Linked DNA regions of Ovis aries. The protein of the gene in region 1 interacts with the protein of each later gene in a pairwise test. Links are inferred from orthologs where the notes say so. Each region holds a gene or a part of one and is shown in the gene's direction. Other genes may lie near its edges.

The links.
Region 2: the proteins of TRIM27 (region 1) and PPP1R18 interact in binary tests that used the Homo sapiens proteins (3 or more experiments, as listed by UniProt). The two-hybrid records come from large-scale screens. The link is inferred for Ovis aries from reciprocal best matches to the Homo sapiens genes TRIM27 and PPP1R18.
Region 3: the proteins of TRIM27 (region 1) and TCHP interact in binary tests that used the Homo sapiens proteins (3 or more experiments, as listed by UniProt). The two-hybrid records come from large-scale screens. The link is inferred for Ovis aries from reciprocal best matches to the Homo sapiens genes TRIM27 and TCHP.

Annotation. Positions count from the first base shown.
Region 1 is NC_056073.1:29,130,437-29,135,211, forward strand, and holds the end of TRIM27 (zinc finger protein RFP), read left to right. Parts: intron 1-1,351; coding exon 1,352-1,947; 3' UTR 1,948-2,995; downstream 2,996-4,775. UniProt on the Homo sapiens protein: E3 ubiquitin-protein ligase that mediates ubiquitination of various substrates and thereby plays a role in diffent processes including proliferation, innate immunity, apoptosis, immune response or autophagy.
Region 2 is NC_056073.1:27,437,353-27,443,780, forward strand, and holds the start of PPP1R18 (phostensin), read left to right. Parts: upstream 1-2,419; 5' UTR 2,420-2,492; exon of another isoform or gene 2,493-3,144; intron 3,145-4,228; 5' UTR 4,229-4,255; coding exon 4,256-5,875; intron 5,876-6,428. Other genes in the region: NRM (nurim), read left to right, coding at 89-285, 890-1,066, 1,420-1,701.
Region 3 is NC_056070.1:63,502,906-63,509,131, reverse strand, and holds the start of TCHP (trichoplein keratin filament-binding protein), read left to right. Parts: upstream 1-2,217; 5' UTR 2,218-2,330; intron 2,331-3,779; coding exon 3,780-3,973; exon of another isoform or gene 3,974-3,984; intron 3,985-4,821; coding exon 4,822-5,032; intron 5,033-5,758; coding exon 5,759-5,815; intron 5,816-6,226. UniProt on the Homo sapiens protein: Tumor suppressor which has the ability to inhibit cell growth and be pro-apoptotic during cell stress. Inhibits cell growth in bladder and prostate cancer cells by a down-regulation of HSPB1 by inhibiting its phosphorylation.

The DNA of each region.
Region 1 (4,775 bases):
TTCCAAAAATTAGCGCACTGCCACTGCTGGTACACTGGTCCACTGCTGTGCCCACCCAGCCTTGGGCAGTGTGTGGTTTACAAAAGCATTGGTCTAAAAAGATTGAGCTTGCCTCTTATTCTGAGAGCTAGGGAAAGTCTAGGAAAAATCTGGAGTCATCCCTTCTCTGTCTGAGCTCTAGAGTTGAAACTCTCCCTCCCCTTGACAGTCACCTTCACCTGAGGTTCACAGACTGGGTAAATCTATGATCTCAAACTCATCTGAGGTTTGTATTCACATGACCACCTTCTATTTCATGGGATCTTCTTCATGGACAAACAACATGTGTGTTAGTTGCTCAGTCGTGTCCACCTCTTTGTGACCGCATGGACTGGGGCTCGCTGGGCTCTTCCATCCATGGGATTCTCCAGGCAAGAATACTGGAACAAGTTGCCATTTCCTTCTTCATCATGAACAGAGGGACTCTACAAACAATGGGTCTTCTTTCATTAATGTCCCCTGGTTGTGATCCATATTTAATTCTTTCAAGATTGAATATGTTGCTTATGTCTTACATTTCCTAATATTGCACAGGGTACAGTAGAGGGAACCAAAGAGCATAAGGCACTGACCTACCCTTGGAGCTAAATGTCTGGTTGGAGGTATGAGGTCTACCCATGACTTGAGGGAATAAATGGGAACTGTTGTGAACACATTGTTGAACCACGAACCACGCCTCTGAGGTTCTTGGTCACCTCCACCAGTTGTCATGAGCCTTTTGTGGGAGACAGTCAGCCTACCTGAACTATGGTTCAGAGAGATAATGTTAGGGAATCTTCCTTCTGAACAAGATAAGAAGAACAAGTGAGAGAATATGTCAGTGATTTTAAAACTGGAAACCACCACGATTGTCAGATGCATGTGGCACTATTTAGTGTCTTTATCTGATATAATGTGAATATCCATATGTTTCACAGCAGATCTGTTAGTATTGGTTGTAGAGTGCTACACCACACCCTCTCTGTCTAAATACTGTAAACTTCTGGACCCTGTGGCTTTCGGATTAAGGGGTTGGACATACACATAAGAAAACCTTAAATTCAGCTTATAACGGATATTGTGGTTTAAAATGTGGAAAAGCAAGGTAAAAATTTCAGTACTTCCAGTATATCCTAGCTAAATGAGATAACTACCTAATCCAAACAGTAATTTTGGGAATGTCAGCTTCAGGGTGGACTTAAATGTATAAAATGAATGTGTCTTTGCTGGAGAGCTCTTACTCTCTTCTCAGGGATAGGAGAAAAGCTGAGTGTTCAGAGTGGGCTGTCCTGGTGCTTGGCTAATCCTCCTCTGCCCCTGTATTTCTCTGCAGTGGATGTGACTCTGGACCCAGACACAGCCTACCCCAGCCTGATCCTCTCTGATAACCTGCGGCAAGTGCGGTACAGTTACCTCCAGCAGGACCTGCCCGACAACCCTGAGCGGTTCAATCTGTTTCCCTGTGTCTTGGGCTCTCCATGCTTCATCGCTGGGAGACACTATTGGGAGGTAGAGGTGGGAGATAAAGCCAAGTGGACCATAGGTGTCTGTGAAGACTCAGTGTGCAGAAAAGGTGGGGTAACCTCAGCCCCCCAGAATGGATTCTGGGCAGTGTCCTTGTGGTATGGGAAAGAATACTGGGCTCTCACCTCCCCAATGACTGCCCTCCCCCTGCGGACCCCTCTCCAACGGGTGGGGATTTTCTTGGACTATGATGCTGGCGAGGTCTCCTTCTACAACGTGACAGAGAGGTGTCACACCTTTACTTTCTCTCATGCTACCTTCTGTGGGCCTGTCCGGCCCTACTTCAGTCTGAGTTACTCTGGAGGGAAGAGCGCAGCTCCTCTGATCATCTGTCCCATGAGTGGCATCGATGGGTTTTCTGGCCATGTTGGGAATCATGGTCATTCCATGGAGACCTCCCCTTGAGGAGGTGAACTCAGGCCAGAAGGGCTGCTGGCTGTACTCCCACCCCAGGCATGAGGCATCTTGTTGCCTTGCCACTTCCTGCCCATCACAGCTGGATGTTCTTACCACTTTCCGTGCCCTGCAGTGCAAGACAGGATGTCTGTGTTCTCTGCCATCCCCCCCTTCCCATGAAAATTGTGAGATGTAATAAGTTATCGAGATTGCCCAGAAATAAAAACCAGATGTCCACCTCCAGTGTTCCACACTTCTTGGTCTTATACATTACTGGAGGGGATAAAGAATATGGATAATCTTGGGTTAGGAGAGCCATTCAAGATTCTTACACCTGGGCTCAGCCCCATATAGTGATCATGGGTATTTGCTGTCGTTTCTGAACCAGGGCTTCTTTCTGAGAACCCACAGCTGGACTAAAGTCCTGTCAGCATGGATCCCTTTGTCCCAGTTTTTCCTTTGGGATTAGTACCTCTACCCCTGATTCCCAATCTGCTGTAGTTTTATTAACTCCATTAAAGAGGCCTGTATGTGTTTTGATTAGTTACAGTTATTTTACAGTAATGGTGGGAAATAGCCCCACCTCTGTTAGGAGATAATATTCTAATCAATGTGCTCTTTGCCTCTATCTTTTTGAGGGCTTTGTCAGCTCCCTTCATTCTAATGAAAAGTGTATCCTAGTCCTGGATGCACATCATCCGGGATTATTTTCTGCTCAACACCACTCATTGTTCCTACCTCCCATCCCACTTCCATTTGTGGACTGATGGTCAGTCATACCCTATCCCTGGAAGGATTCTGGGGCAATATTCCAGGGGATTCATTGACTTGTCTCCATTTCTCCCTTCTATTTCAAGGGAAGAGGGAGTTTACCTTTCTGATGTGTGTACCATCAAGGGGCTATTCCATCCCTATGGCCATTGGATCACGAGGCATTCTGAGGTCAGAAAGCCAAGGCAGATCACTTAGCACAAGCCCCCATGATGGTTCTTAGTCTTCTCTTTCTTTGGGTACATGCTCCTCTGTTTAAAAATAAAGTGAGTATGGATGTTGTTTACACTGTTGTTATTTTCTGGGTCTTGGTAGGACTGGGTTCATAGATATTGGAGGAAATCAACACTATTAACCTCTATGGTTTGAGAATCTCATTCTGGTCAGTATTTTACTTTCAACTGGATGATAAAAACAGTACCATGTCACTGCTTTCTACTGGTGCTTGGAAACTAGTGTTGGACTTCCATAGCCTACAGCTTTGTATTGGCTAATCCTGTCACGTCTCTGGAAAAGTGTTCTCTCAAGTGCTTATAACTGACAGTGGGGTATGCAGCAATGCTTGGTATAGATCAGAGCGCCCAGAGCTTGCTTCCCACCTCAGAAGCAGCAGCCTAAGCCCTTAGGGTCATGGAGGGCACCACATTCTAAGGAGGAAAAATATGCTGAGAGGACAGCTCTTTTCCAGGAGGTTTTCGATCTTTTCTGCTTTTGGACATGACCTCAAGATGACAAGATTTTGTGGTCTTAGTCTTGTACCCAACATTGTGGTTCATGGCTGAAGATCATGCATTGGTGATATGTCCTGATTCATTTATTTATTCAAAAGGTTTTAAGAGAAATAACCAGGAGCTTCAGAGAGGGGCTTCCATGAGGCTAGGTTAGCTTTTGCTGAATAGTCTCAATAGATATAAATACATGTGCTAACAAACGACAGAGGATGAGATGGCTGGATGGCATCACTGGCTCGATGGACGTGAGTCTGAGTGAACTCCAGGAGTTGGCGATGGACAGAGAGGCCTGGCGTGCTGCGATTCATGGGGTTGCAAAGAGTCGGACACGACTGAGTGACTGAACTGAACTGAACTGAACATATATATATATTATGTATATAAAATACTACTACACAGATAAAGAGCAATGCTCAGCACATAGTATGAAGTGCTTTGTGTACAATGGCTTATTTAATGCTCTTAACAACCCTACAAGATAAAGTAGATACTGTTGCCTTTATTTTACACAAGAAAATTGAAGCATAGAGAGGGTAGTGATTTATCCAAGGTGTACAGTTAGGAAGCAACAGGGCCAGGATTCAGACCAAGGTGAAATACATGTCCACGTACATCGTATCCTGCCTCACAATATCTATGGATTATGCTTTTCTGCATGGAAAGGTAGAGACTGAGGCCTTGGGGTGCCAGTCTGTTGACCTGGGATACCAGCCTTTAACAGTAAGTCTGTCTACTCTAGATTCAAGAATTCGCAACTGGAAAACTGGGTGAAGAGACCCAGTCAGAATTGCATTTCAGTTTTACTTAATATAGTCCATTGGGACAAGGAGGAAGAATAAGAGCCCATAAAGAGGGCACCTTGCTTGGTACCAGTCCCAAGAAAATGTGCTCCTAGGAAAGACTCCCTGATCCTTGCTGCTCAACTGATGGAGCTGTCTCCAGGCTAACAAAAGGTCTCACACGGGGTCTGCTTTATCTCTAGTAGACTCAGTACTAATAGGAGCAGCATCTTAATGAATTTTTATTAACAGCAGCAGCTGGAGCAGCGGTAAGCAACCTCTTTGGATTCAGCAAAGCTACTTCCAATTTGAACTGGGATATACTACAAGACAATCTTACTAACAATGCTGAATGGGAAAAAGTCTCAAAAAGACTGTATACTTTACAGTACCCTTTCTGTGATATGGACAAAAGGTTTGTGGTTACCAGTGGGCCATGTGGAGGACGGTAGAGAAGGAGGGCGTGAATTGATGTGCTTTGTACTGTTTATCCTATGATTCTTATGGGTGGTGGGTTTAGAGGTATAAAAACAAATTTTTTAAACGTCATTTTGAA
Region 2 (6,428 bases), about 1.7 Mb from region 1:
TGGCCTGGGGTCCCCAAGAGGAGGTGAAGGTAGAGAGTGTTTCCCACAGTCTTCTTGATCTTTTGTACCTTTTTCCAACTCCCGCTAGATGCCCGCCAGGGATGGCTGGCTGCCCTGCAGGACCAAAGCATCCTTGTCCCGCTGGTTTGGGATCTGGGGCTCCTGTTACTGTTTGTGGGGCAGCACAGCCTCATGGCAACTGAGACCGTGAAGGAATGGATGTCCCGGTACTTTGGGGTCCTTCAGAGGTCACTGTACGTGGCATGCACTGCCCTGGCCTTGCAGGTATGAAGCCCTGGCAGCTGAGTCCTCAAGGGAAACAGCATGTGTGAAGGATGTCATTGATTGGAGCTGCAAGAACCTCAGGCTTCGGATAAAGTGTGGGTTTAGGAGGAGAACTGAGGGTGTTCAGGACTAGTCTCAGCTCCCGTTATTTCACAGCACACATTTCTCCTTTTTATCAAGAAGTATGTACTGCTTGTCATCCCCTACGCATGATGTGTGCATTCTCACCTTTGCAACTTCGTTCCTGTTGTCCCGCTTGAGAGTGCCTTGGTAACACCTCTTCAGTCTTATCCTTTCTTCAAAAGCACTTCCCTAGATCTCAAGAGAAAGCTTCCCGGTTAGTACTCACCTGTCTCCTCAGTGGGTGCTTGGCATAGGCTATTTTGTGTGCCTATGTGGTCACCCTCATCCATTCTCTAAGTCCTCAGAGTGGAGACAAGTCATTCTTACATCCTTAGGACCCCACCCAGCACCCTCCACATGGTGAACATGCTCATGATAGAGGTGGGGGGAACAGCTGGCCAGCCTGGACTGGAGGCAGCCCCTGGGTCTGGGTCTGTCAAGGGTGGGCTGCTGGGAAACCCAGTTCCTCTTCCTTCCTCAGCTGGTGATGCGGTACTGGGAGCCTGTGCCCAGGGGTCCTGTGTTGTGGGAGGCTCGGGCTGAGCCATGGGCCACTTGGGTGCCCCTCCTCTGCTTTGTCCTCCACGTCATTTCCTGGCTCCTCATCTTCAGCATCCTTCTCGTCTTCGACTACGCAGAGCTCATGGGCCTGAAACAGGTGAGGCTCCCAGATCCCTACCCAAGACATCTGATCCTTTCTAGAATACCTCTTTCCCCTCCAAGGATGTCCCTGTGCCTCCCATTGTCTTCCACCTGCCTCTTGTTTTTGAGCCCTTCACCTCCCTTTCTTATAAGACAGTCTCCCCCCAGCCCTCCCTCAAAGGCTAGGAATCATGGGCTTCTTGGGCCTGGGAAGGTTCATGGGCCAGAGATGAGGGTCAGGGACCTCCAGTCTCAGGAGGGTGGTTCCTGAGCCTGTCATAGAAGGAGGGTGCCCAGGACGGGAGGAAAGAGGCAGTTAAGTTGTGACAAGGGCTTGGCTCCATTCCTAAGCCATTCTCCCTCTGCTAGGTGTACTACCATGTGCTGGGGCTGGGCGAGCCTCTGGCCCTGAAGTCGCCCCGGGCTCTGAGACTCTTCTCCCACCTGCGCCATCCAGTGTGCGTGGAGCTGCTGACAGTGCTATGGGTGGTACCCACCCTGGGCACTGACCGCCTGCTCCTTGCTCTCCTCCTTACCCTCTACCTGGGCCTGGCTCACGGACTGGACCAGCATGATCTCCGCTATCTCCGGGCCCAGCTACAAAGAAAACTCCACCTGCTCTCCCGGCCCCAGGATGGGGAGGCCGAGTAAGGGGTTAACCCTGGTTGCAAGCCCTGTACTTCCTCTCTCCCTCCTATCCCAAATTCCCTTAACATCTAGGCCTTGGCTGCTTCAGACCAGAGGCCCAAATCCATGGACTGAAGGAGTGGTCCCTTTCCTTGCTTGAGCCTCCACTCCTTGGTTCCAGCTCCATACTGAATTTCAGCCATTGGACTCCAAGGGCCACTTCTCACCAGCCAGGAAGGAGTGGCTGGGAACTTCTTCTCACAGTTCAGGGCTTGACCCTCCGTTAACAATTTCCTCACCAAGAGAAGAGTCTGGCTTGACCACTCCCTTAGCCCTGTTACTACCCTCTGTGCCTCAGGGATCCTTTCTCCACGTCTAGCTCCCTCCCAGGGGCTGGACCGAGGCCCACTGTCTGGCCTTTTCAGCTCCCTAGGCCCCGACCCTAGGCTCCATCCTCCTGAACCTAGTTGAGCGGTTTCTCCCGTTCTTAGCTAAGGTGACTAGAGGCTCCCTGCTTTCCCGAGGAACTCACGCTACAGGAAAATAAAATTCAGTCTGGTTTTTCTACGTGTAGAATGCAGTCTGTCAGTGTCTCTCAAAGCTGCAGGGCTGGCTCTGGGAAAGGCGAGTTACATTGGAGTCTGGGCATCGGCCGCGCCTTCTGGTGACCGCTGGGCGGCGGCCACTCCCCGCGCACCCAGCCCTCCACCCCCTTCCCGGAGCACCCGGTCCCCCTTCCTCCAAATCTCCCAATTTCCTTGCTGCAGACCCGGGTGGGGGACGGGCTGAAACGGAAGAGTGGGGAGACGGTTCGGGTAAGGGAGCGAGCTTCCGAAACCGTTGTCTTCCCAGCCCTGCTCCTGTGGCCGCCCCCTCCCCACGGGCCCCGCAAGCGCCCCCACGGTAACAAAGGCTGGCCCGGGAAGGCAAAAGCGTGGGGAGGAGCGGCAGGAGATGGGAAGGGCGGGCCCGGCTCCGAGCAGCTGCCGCTTCCTCCCGAAGTCCCTCGAGGGGTCTGAGTCACGGGCCGCCGCCCCGGCTTGGCTAGCTGGGGGTGGGGGTCTGGACACCTGGGCTGTCCAGGGTTACCGGGCGGCAGCCGCGTGAGAGGCCCTGGGGAAGGACCGCGGAGTGCCGGGGATCGCGGCGGGAAAACAGGAGTCCCGGGGCCGAGGATCCACGCGGGGGACCCGGGGAGCGAGGCTCCGCCCCCGCGCCCGGCTCCGCCCAGCGCCCCCTTCCCTCTCCCCATTGTCCTCAGACAAAGCGGCGGCCGCCCCCCGCTCGGCCCCCGGGTCTGTCTCCGTCCCTCCCCTTCTCCTCCCTTCCCCCCTCCCGCGCCCCCCGCGCCCCCCCCCACCTCCTGCCCCGGATCTCCCTCTATCCCTCTCTCCTCCTCTTCCTCTCTCCTCCTCTCTCCGGACGTCAGGCTCCTTCGCACCCCCTCCCCCGGGAGCCCCGCGGCATGTGAGTTGACCCAGGGGCTTCAGACTTGGGGAGGGGGTGTCCCCTCCCTTCCGTCCCGGGCGCGGACCTCGGGCTGCCTCTCCTCTCTTTGTGCCGAGATTGCCCGTCAGTGCGGTCATAGCCGGGTGGGGACGGCTGGCGAGGTCGGGGTTCCATGAGCGCCGAGACCCCGGCGCGAGACTGGCCGGCTCCGGAGAGAAGCGGTGTGGAGCCGGTGCTCCGTACGCCTGAGGCGCTCGCTCGCCCGGGACCCCGGGGCATCGCCGGTGGGGGAGGCCGGCGGCGGGGCCCGGACCGGGTTAGGGTTGGTGGGGGGTGGACGCCAGGGTTCTGGGAACGAGCTGGCAGCTCCGATCGCCGGGTTCCGAAAGTCCCCGGGGGAGGGTATTTCCCCTGGCCCGCCCCGGGGCGGAGTGCAGGGCGGAGGGGTGGGGGCTGGGGGGTCTGAGAGGCGTGGCTCAAGCGGAGCTGGAAGGGGAGCCCGGACCTCCGGGGCCCGCGCCGAGACTCGCCCGGCTACAGCCGCCGAGCTCCCTCGCCCCTCTGCCCCCGATTCCCCCTTCTCCCCTGGACCTGTCCACTCTCCGCCCTCCCACCTTCCCGACACCCCTTCAGGTCCCACTGCCCCCTCTCCGCCGGGGATCCCGCTGACCTCGCTTCCCACTCCCGCCGCTCCTGAGGTAGCGGTCAGGCAACCTCGGTCGGATCCTGCCCCGCTCACCCCCAGCCTCTCTTCTCTCTTCTCCCTCGTGCCAGCTTCTTTCGTTTTTCCCTCTTCTCACAACCTGGGGACTGTCTCTGATGCCCAGTAACCTGTACCCACAAATCTGACTCCTGTCTCTTTGCCCTGAATCTCCACTGTTCCTCTCGACCCACCTCCCCCAACCCCATCACCTGGCTCTTAGTTTCCTCTTCACTTTCTCAGGTTTTCCCCTTTCTCTGCTCCCCTCCGCCGCCCCCTTTCCTACTGTCCTCACCCTCAGCTCCTCTGTGACCCACCTCTCCCCCTGCTTCCTCTCCCCCACCCCCATTCTCACCTCCTGGGCCCCTCTGGAGCCTCTCCTTCCTGTTCTCTGCCCCCCAGCGTTCCCCCACCCTCCCCAAGGCGACCATGGCCACCATCCCAGACTGGAAGCTACAGCTGCTAGCCCGGCGCCGGCAGGAAGAGGCAGCCGTTCGCGGCCGTGAGACGGCAGAGCGGGAGCGGCTGTCGCAGATGCCAGCCTGGAAGCGGGGCCTTCTGGAGCGCCGCCGGGCCAAGCTTGGTCTGTCTCCTGGGGAGCCTAGCCCTGCGCCTGGGACTACGGAGGCTGGACCTCCAAACCCAGACGAGTCTGCTGTCCTCCTGGAGGCCATTGGGCCTGTGCACCAGAACCGATTTATCCGGCAAGAGCGCCAGCAGCAGCAGCAGCAGCAGCAGCAGCAGCAACAGCAGCGGAGTGAAGAGCTACTCACGGACAAACGGCCTGGACCTTTGGAGACCCGGGGGCGGAGACCCAGCCCCGGGGAGACACGGGATCCCAGCCCCAAGGGAAGAGAGTCCAGGGAAGAGCGGCTCAGTCCTAGGGAGGCCAGAGAGAAGAGGCTGGGGATAGGGGGCGCTCGAGAGTCGAGCCCCAGGCCTTTGGAGTCTCGGGACTGGAGGCAGAGCCCAGGAGAGGCTGGAGACAGGAGCTCTAGACTGTCAGAGGTGCGGAAATGGAGGCTGAGCCCTGGAGAAACTCCTGAGCGGAGTTTGAGACTGGCAGAGCCCCGAGAACAAAGCCCCAGGAGAACAGAGGTGGTGGACAGTAAACGGAGCCCCGAAGAGTCTGACAACCAGAAGCTGGGCCTGACAGACTCCCATAAATGGAGGCCTGACCCCAAAGAGTCTCCGGGACAGAGTTTGGGACAACTGGAGGCATCAGAGTGGAGGCCGAGTTCAGGAGAAGAAAGAAAAGACTGCTCAGAGGAATGGGGGAGAAAAGACGAGAGGCCGATTCCAAGAATGGACCCAGAAGGGACCACAGCGTCGTCAGAGACCCCAACAAGGGAGGCTCCAGACAGTCGCTCTGCAGGACCAGAGGGAGCAGAAGAAAGGCCCAGCCCCGTAGAGGATGGCGAGAGGGGCCTGCGGCCCCCGGAAGGATGGAAATGGACCCTGAACTCTGGGAAGGCCCGAGACTGGACACCCAGGGACACAGAGCCTCAGCCCCAGAAACCAGACACTCCAGAGTCTGTTGAGAAGCACGTGGGTCCTTTGGGTGCAGAGGCTGAGAAGGAGGAGGCGGGCGCTCAGAGCAGGCCTCTGGGCGCCCTGCAGGACCGCTGCTCTGCGCCCTCCCCCCTCTCCCCAGAGGACGCCGGGACTGGAGCCTCTAGACGGCAGGAAGAGGAAGCAGGGGAACTCCGGCCCCCACCCGCAGCCCCTCTGTCTCCCCCACCCCCAGCCCCACCTGCCCCCCAGTCCCTTGGGGATCCCCTCATGAGCCGGCTCTTCTACGGGGTGAAGGCAGGGCCAGGGGTGGGGGCCCCCCGCCGCAGCGGACACACCTTCACAGTCAACCCCCGGCGGTCCGCGCCCCCTGCAGCCCCTGCCACTCCAGCCGCCCCAGCCACAGCTGACACGGCGGTCCCTGGGGCTGGGAAGAAGCGGTACCCGACTGCCGAGGAGATCTTGGTTCTGGGGGGCTACCTCCGCCTCAGCCGCAGCTGCCTTGTCAAGGGGTCCCCTGAAAGGCGCCACAAACAGGTAGGGAGCAGCCAACCCAGACTTCTTGGCCAGCCCCCCATCACTGCTCTGTGGACTCCTGTCTCTCTCCCTTTTTTTATACCTCTGTATCCTTGTCTTCATCTATTCTTGTTCATTCCTGCTGCCACCCTTCCTCCCCTGAACACACACCCTTCCTTCTTGTGGCCCTTCTTTTCCATTCATTTCCCAGCCCAAGGAGCCTGCTCCGCAATCAGGCTCGCTGTCCTGGGTGTGTCTCTCTCAGGGTGTGCCCAGGCTCCTCACTCTTCTCTCCCTCAGGCTCTGAGTTCACCCCCCCATGCTTTCCATTCCCGAGTCTCTGACCCAGCCCAGCCCATCTGGGTGGGAGACCAGAATTGAGGCCACAGCCTGGAATCTATGGGGGCAGGGTCTGCAGGGCAAAAGTGGGCAAAAGAATGCTGGGGTAGGAAGCCTGGGGAGGCAGAGGGGTTCGGGTTTTAGGGAGAAATGGCAGGGAGAAGCGAGTGGAGGAACATCTCACAGACCCAAGGAAGGGGGGGCTGCAGAGCGGAGTGGGGACATCCTAGGATAG
Region 3 (6,226 bases), on another chromosome or scaffold:
TTCCACAACCTACAAGCTGCAGTCCTGTCCCAGAAGATAGGCCAGAGGGTATGGCCTGGGGCCTCAGGCTTCCAGGACAAGGTCAGTCAAGCCCTAGGCCCTTGATCCCAGCAGTTGAGCTTGTTTGGTCCTTTAAGGCCATTATACAGATGAGGCAACTAAGGCCCAGAGAGTGGAAGGCCCTTGCCAAGAGCTGCAAAACCAGGACCTGAAGGCTCGTCTCCCACAGCACAATTCACGCATTTCTGAAGTTCCTATCACACTCAAGAAGGCCTATCAACAACTATTTATTTTAATCAGGCTCTTTTGCTATGTGGATGGCTCTGGCTGGGCTGAGGAGAGTGGGTGGCTGCTTCCCTTCTCCGCTGTGGACACAGGATGGGTGACTGGCCGTGAGCTTGGCCCAAGGGGTTGGGACCAATCACAGGCTAACTCCAGAGGATCTCACGCACAGGGCAGGGCAGGTTCTGAGGGAGATGTGAGAGGGACTTCCCTGGTGGTCCAGTGGTAAAGACTCTGTGCTTCCACTACAGAGGGGGGCAGTGCAATCCCTTGTCAGGGAACTCAGATCCTGCATGTCCTGCATGCTGCCAAAAAACTAGAAAAAAAAGGGGGGGAGGTATGCGAGCGCATGCTCTCCTGAGATGCACCAGGTGCTCTGCTCCCGAGGCCGCTCCATTTAAACTTTCATTTCCTCTCATGAGGGCAACTGTAGAAAGCAGCCCTGTCGGTATTCTTATTTAAAGCTAATCTGAGGCACAGTAAAACTTTCAAGACTTGCTGATCGGAATCAGGCAAAAGAAAGGTGTTCAGAACACTCTACCGGCAGGATCTAGGAGAGGTTTTTAGAAAGAAGATGTGAAAGCAAGGAAATCGTTTGATTGGCTGTAACTTAAGAGGTTGCCTTGTTTGGGAAAGCCCAGTTGGCTGTTTGTGAGTGCTAAATTTCATTTTCTCCAATTTGGGTGCTTTGGCTCTGGCCTAGGTTTAGGTTGACCTGCATCGGCTACGGAGGTGTCACAGCCTTCCCAGTCTAATGGGCTCCTTTTTCAATTACTTGAACATTCTTATTTCACGGATGAGGACACGGAGGCTCAGAGTGACGAAGTGACCTGTCCAGACCACACGACTGTTGTGGTGGAGGCTGCAACAGAGGTCACTCTGTTCAACCAGACTTTATACTGCATCCAGGGAAAACAGAGAATTGAATAAAAGAAGGAAGCGGGCGGGCGGGCCTTCCCTGGTGGTCTGGTGGTTAAGAGTCCAGCTTGCAATGTAGAGGACCCAAGTTTGATCCCTGGTTGGGGAACTAGGTTCCCACATGTGGCAGAGCACCTAACCCTACAAGCTACAACTAGAAGATGGGAGTGCCCGCGACTAAGACCCCAGGCAGCTAAATAAATAAAATTTAAATAAAAAAAGGAGGAAAGGGTGAAGGAAAGAATAAATGAAGACAAAAATGGGAAAATGAAAAGAGCCTGAATAAAAGAGTTAATACTTTTGCTTTTCATTTATTTTTGTCACACTGCAGAGCTTGTGGGATCTTAGCTCCCCAATCAGGGATTGAACCCAGGCTCTCGGCAGTGACAGTGGGCTGTCTTAACCATTGGACTGCCGGGGAATTTCCAATCTTTTAATTTCATTTTTTAAGAGAATAGTTGGTACATAGAATGATACACGTAGCATGTGAGTTATAAAACATACTAACAGAAGGAACACCCTTGAACCCACCACCATCCTAAAACAATAGAAAGTTGCCAATAGCTCGAACCTACTTATATCAGCGGTTCTTCGAGCTGGCTACACCTTGAACACACCTGAGGGGCTTAGACAACCACAGAGTGCTCGATGGGGTTTGTCTGGAGTCCGGTTTGGACATCTGGATTTTTCAGAGCTCTCCAGATGATTCTCTTGTGCAGCCAGGTTTGAGGGTGACTGGCTTATAATTCCCTTCCCTATTATATCCCTCTGATTTTCCCCGACGCTCACCTGCCTCCCTCAGGTAGCCATCATCCTGAATTTGGTGTAGTGAATGGATTCTTTTCCTTAGACAAGCGATGTCTGCGATTGAGCTCCCGCCCACCACGAGGGGGCATCGGAGAAAAACACAGACTTCTTTTCTTGCTCTGCGCGCCGAGTAATCGCGCTGCAGGAGGCTTGGCCCTCGCGGCGCTCCATCGCCGGCCCGTTGCCTCGGCAACGAGCGGGGAAACGGCCGGCGTAAGTGCAGCGCTGTCGGAGAGGGTCGCCGTGGCCCGGGCAGGGATTATTTGGGGCTTGCGGGACCTTGGGCCGGGGCAGTCTTGGGAAACTCCGGCGCGCAGAGAAACGTGAGTCGGGGGTTTGGGCTCGGTCGGGGGCCGGCGTTGGGGTCTGGACCCTCAGAGCTCTGCCGCAGTCGGCTCCGCGCTGGCGGGAAGCGCGCCCGCCGTCCCGGGACGCGATCGCGGGGCGCCCGGGGCTTCGGCTTCCAGTCCTCACTCGGCTCCCCGCGCGGCCTGGGTCCGACCCTTTCCTCTGTAATCTCTTTTGTTGTATGTGGCTGAGAGAGGGATGCGACTTGTTCAGAGAGCCTCCCAGCTTGTTGTTGATGGTTCATCTGGGGCCGGAATCTTCACTTTCCTCAATCCTCGTGCAAAGATTTATCCGCAGGCGGCCTATGGGGCAAAGAAAAATGTCTGTCAGGCCTGCCACAGTCTGAAGACAGATTTGACCTGGCAGTCTCAGGCTAAGCTTGACTCATAGACGCAGATCATTTTCCTCCCGGTTCGGAGGACTCTGAGTTTGTTTATTTGCCAGAAGCTCCTTGAGCACTGTCACAGCCAGGCACTGTGTAGACCCTGCACCTGGGGCAGCTTTTGGACCGGGAGTGGTTGGGGGGAGATGTCCGGAGAGACTGGTTCTGCTTTCGAGTCTCCGCCCGTGTCCCCAGATCGCCCCCTTGACCCGTGCAAATTGATTCTTCCCTCTGGGTGGTAGTTTCTCCATCTGTAAGAAGGAGGGATCTCCCTCCATGCTCATCCAGAACATTACCAGGTGTGACACCTGGAGATAGCAACCCACTCCAATATCCTTGCCTGGAGAATACTATGGACAGAGGAGCCTCGTGGGCTACAGTCCATGGGGTTGCAAAGAGTGGGACAGGACTTTGATTTCAGCAAGCGACTTTCATTTCACTTCACAGCCAGGGCATGTTGGTCCCAACAAGTACCATCTTGCAGTCTACAGAGCTTGGGCCCTCATCCCAGGCTAACATGAATTAGGCTCCCAGCTCCTGTTTAAATTTCCTCTGCTTCCTGGCTTTGTGATCTTCAAGTCATTTTACCTCTTTGAACTTCAGTTTCCTCAGCTGCCAAAAACAGCAGGGTGCTAGTAACAATGAAAAAGGTCATATAAGTCAAGGGCTTGGCCCACATCCGCATGCCTGCAGTTATCCTCTCTGTTACCTTAGGCAGAGCGCAGAAACCCTCCGTGTGCCAGTCCAGTGTCGTCAGCACTGGCTCCCTGTCTCTGCACTGCCCTTACTGATGTCAGGCTCACAGCTGGGTGCAGTCCAGGCTTCTTCAGCTAGATGATTTGGGGTCCTGGTAGCAAGTCATTTTTAAAATGCTGGTGCCTGGGAGCCTGCACTGAGATTTTTTTTTTTTTACTTAATTGGTCTGCCTTGGGGCCCAGGCTCTACCAGGAGATCCCAGTGTGCAGCCCAGGGTGAGGACCGGGCCTCAAAGGGGTGAGGAGCTGCAGCAGGCTCCTGTTCTTAGCGCTGCTGTTCTCCTCAGATGGCACTCCCCACGCTGCCCTCCTCCTGGTGCAGCCGGCGGCTCCCAGATCAGCAGGCCGCCCGACAGCGCCGCCAGGAGCAGGAGGCGCATCTTCGGCAGCAGTGGGACCAGAACAGCCGCTACTTCCAGATGTCCGACATCCGCAGCTCCAAACAGGCAGAGTGGAGCTCCAGGGCCTCCTACCAGCGGAGGTAACTGTGCGGTGAGCACCTTCCCTTAGGGCTGGAGGGCCACCTACTGCCGGGAGATGTGACTGACTCAAGGACCTGGGGGAGGGTGGCTGGCCGGCGTGGATACTTGCATGGAAATGTGATGATTTCCGTGGATACTCGCATGGCGATGTCTTTCCAACTGGAAACTGAAAAGAAGGTCAGCAGTGAAGTAACACATTTGACTGAAAAAGATAAGATGATGAGACGTGTATGTAGAATCCGGAAGTCCCCCGGTAGCCCCATTTCCCCAGGAGAGAACCACCGTGAACTGTCTGGTCCGTAACCTCCCGTACACTTCTTCATCTGTTTTTGTGTGTAAATATAGATACAAGCATACACCCATTTTTATAGAGAGAGATACATACGAAAACACGGAAGTTAAAAGCATGGGCTTTGAAGTCACACAGACCTAGATAGCAATTCTGACTATGGGCTTTGGAGTCGGACAGACCTAGATAGCAATTCTGACTGTGTCACTTGCTGTATGAATGAGCCTCAGTTTCCTCATCAGTGAAGTGGGGCTAAAACAGAACCTAATTTATAGGATTTATGTCATGACTACTATAAAAACCATCCAGGTTATGTAGTACATGGTAACTACTCAGATAATATTACCATGTGCATAGATACGCCTCTTGTACATTTCCTTGCAAGAACAAGATTCTATTATGCATAGTGGTTCTATTACCTGGCCTGTTCACTTTGGCTGGAGGACGCCTTCCCAGGTCACCATGTTCCATGTGTCTCAGCCTGTCACCCACACAGCCAGCCATGTAGCCCCTGTGCAGCTGGAAGCATCCAGGCTGATGGTGGCCCCTCTCGCCCAGCATGCATGCTTACCAGCGGGAGAAGATGAAGGAGGAGGGCAGGAAGCGTCTGGAGGCCCGACGGCAGAGACTCAGGCAGCTTCTGGTGGAGGAGCAGGACTTGCTGGCCAGACAACTGGAGGAGCTGAGGCTGAGCATGAACCTGAGGGAAGGGAGAATCCGGGAGCAGCACGGGAACCTGAAGGCGGCCCGAGAGGAGCAAAGGAAGCTGGTAACTCCGCGTAGCTCTTCAGCAGGGTGCGAAGCCCGAGTCCCCGGCCTGTCGGTGAGGCCACGAGGCGTCTCCCTCAGGGGCCGAGATGGCAGTTCACTACAGAGCCAGCTGAGAAAAGTGCTGACTCTGAGTCGTTGTTCGTGTGTATTTTCCAGGAGTCATCTTTATTCTCTTGGGCCCCTTAAATCATTATATCTGAGTCCCTTTTCTTTATTCTAGTTCTCTGGTCCCATGAAAGGCTGGGACTGGTGTATTTTAACTTAACTTCCAAAGTAGTCCTGTGTAGTGGTGGTCTCTAAGCTGTGTTTTTAAGCCTGCTGTATATTTTGAAGTAGATCTTTAGCATCTAGGACCCATTTGTAGCATCAGATTTTGGCCCCTTTTTATCACCATTATAAGAGTCATTTGTGGGAACTCCCTGGTGGTCCAGTGGTTAAGACTCCACGCTCACTGCTGAGTGCCCAGGTTCAATCCCTGATCACGGAACTAAGATCCCACAAGTCGTTTGGCGTAGCCAAAGAAATGAGTCATTTATCAGCACCTGATTGGTGTCTGTTGAGAGCCAGACACCTCCTGAGGCCCGAGGGAAGCCTGAAGGGCAGGTGCGGTGCTGGCTGCCAGTGGAGGAGCTCTTAGGCTCACCTGACTTCACTGTGGGTTACCTGAAACATGGATGGATTGGAAGAGCGATGTCAGTCTCCCCTCTTTGTGTTTTCTTGGCAGATTGCTGAACGACTTTTGTATGAACACTGGAAAAAGAACAACCCCAAACTTCGAGAGGTGAAAACCAAAGAGATCCTCCCATTGGTTTGCCTAAGTAGATGAAATCACGTTGCTCGCCTTGTTTCTAAATTTGCATCTTGTGCTGGGATGAAAGAGATCACTCCAGCCGCTTTGGAAAGAGGCTCCACACAGAAGATCTGGTTCATTTGGTTATTTAACATCTACAAGAGGCTGCAAGAGGTTGGGACATCTGATAGGAAGGGGGAAACCCAACAGTGGAGGCTGGGTAGGCAGATGGGGCCACCTGGGACAGCCTTGGGTGGCCTTCCCCTGGAGGCACCCGGGAGCGCCTGCGAGATTCTCAGCAGAGGTGCAGTGGGGCCCTGGCTGCATTTTGGGGAGCAGTAGCAGGGTCGAGGGGGCGGGAAGGGGTGATGTCAATTGAGGGGTTGCAGCTGCAGCCCAGGT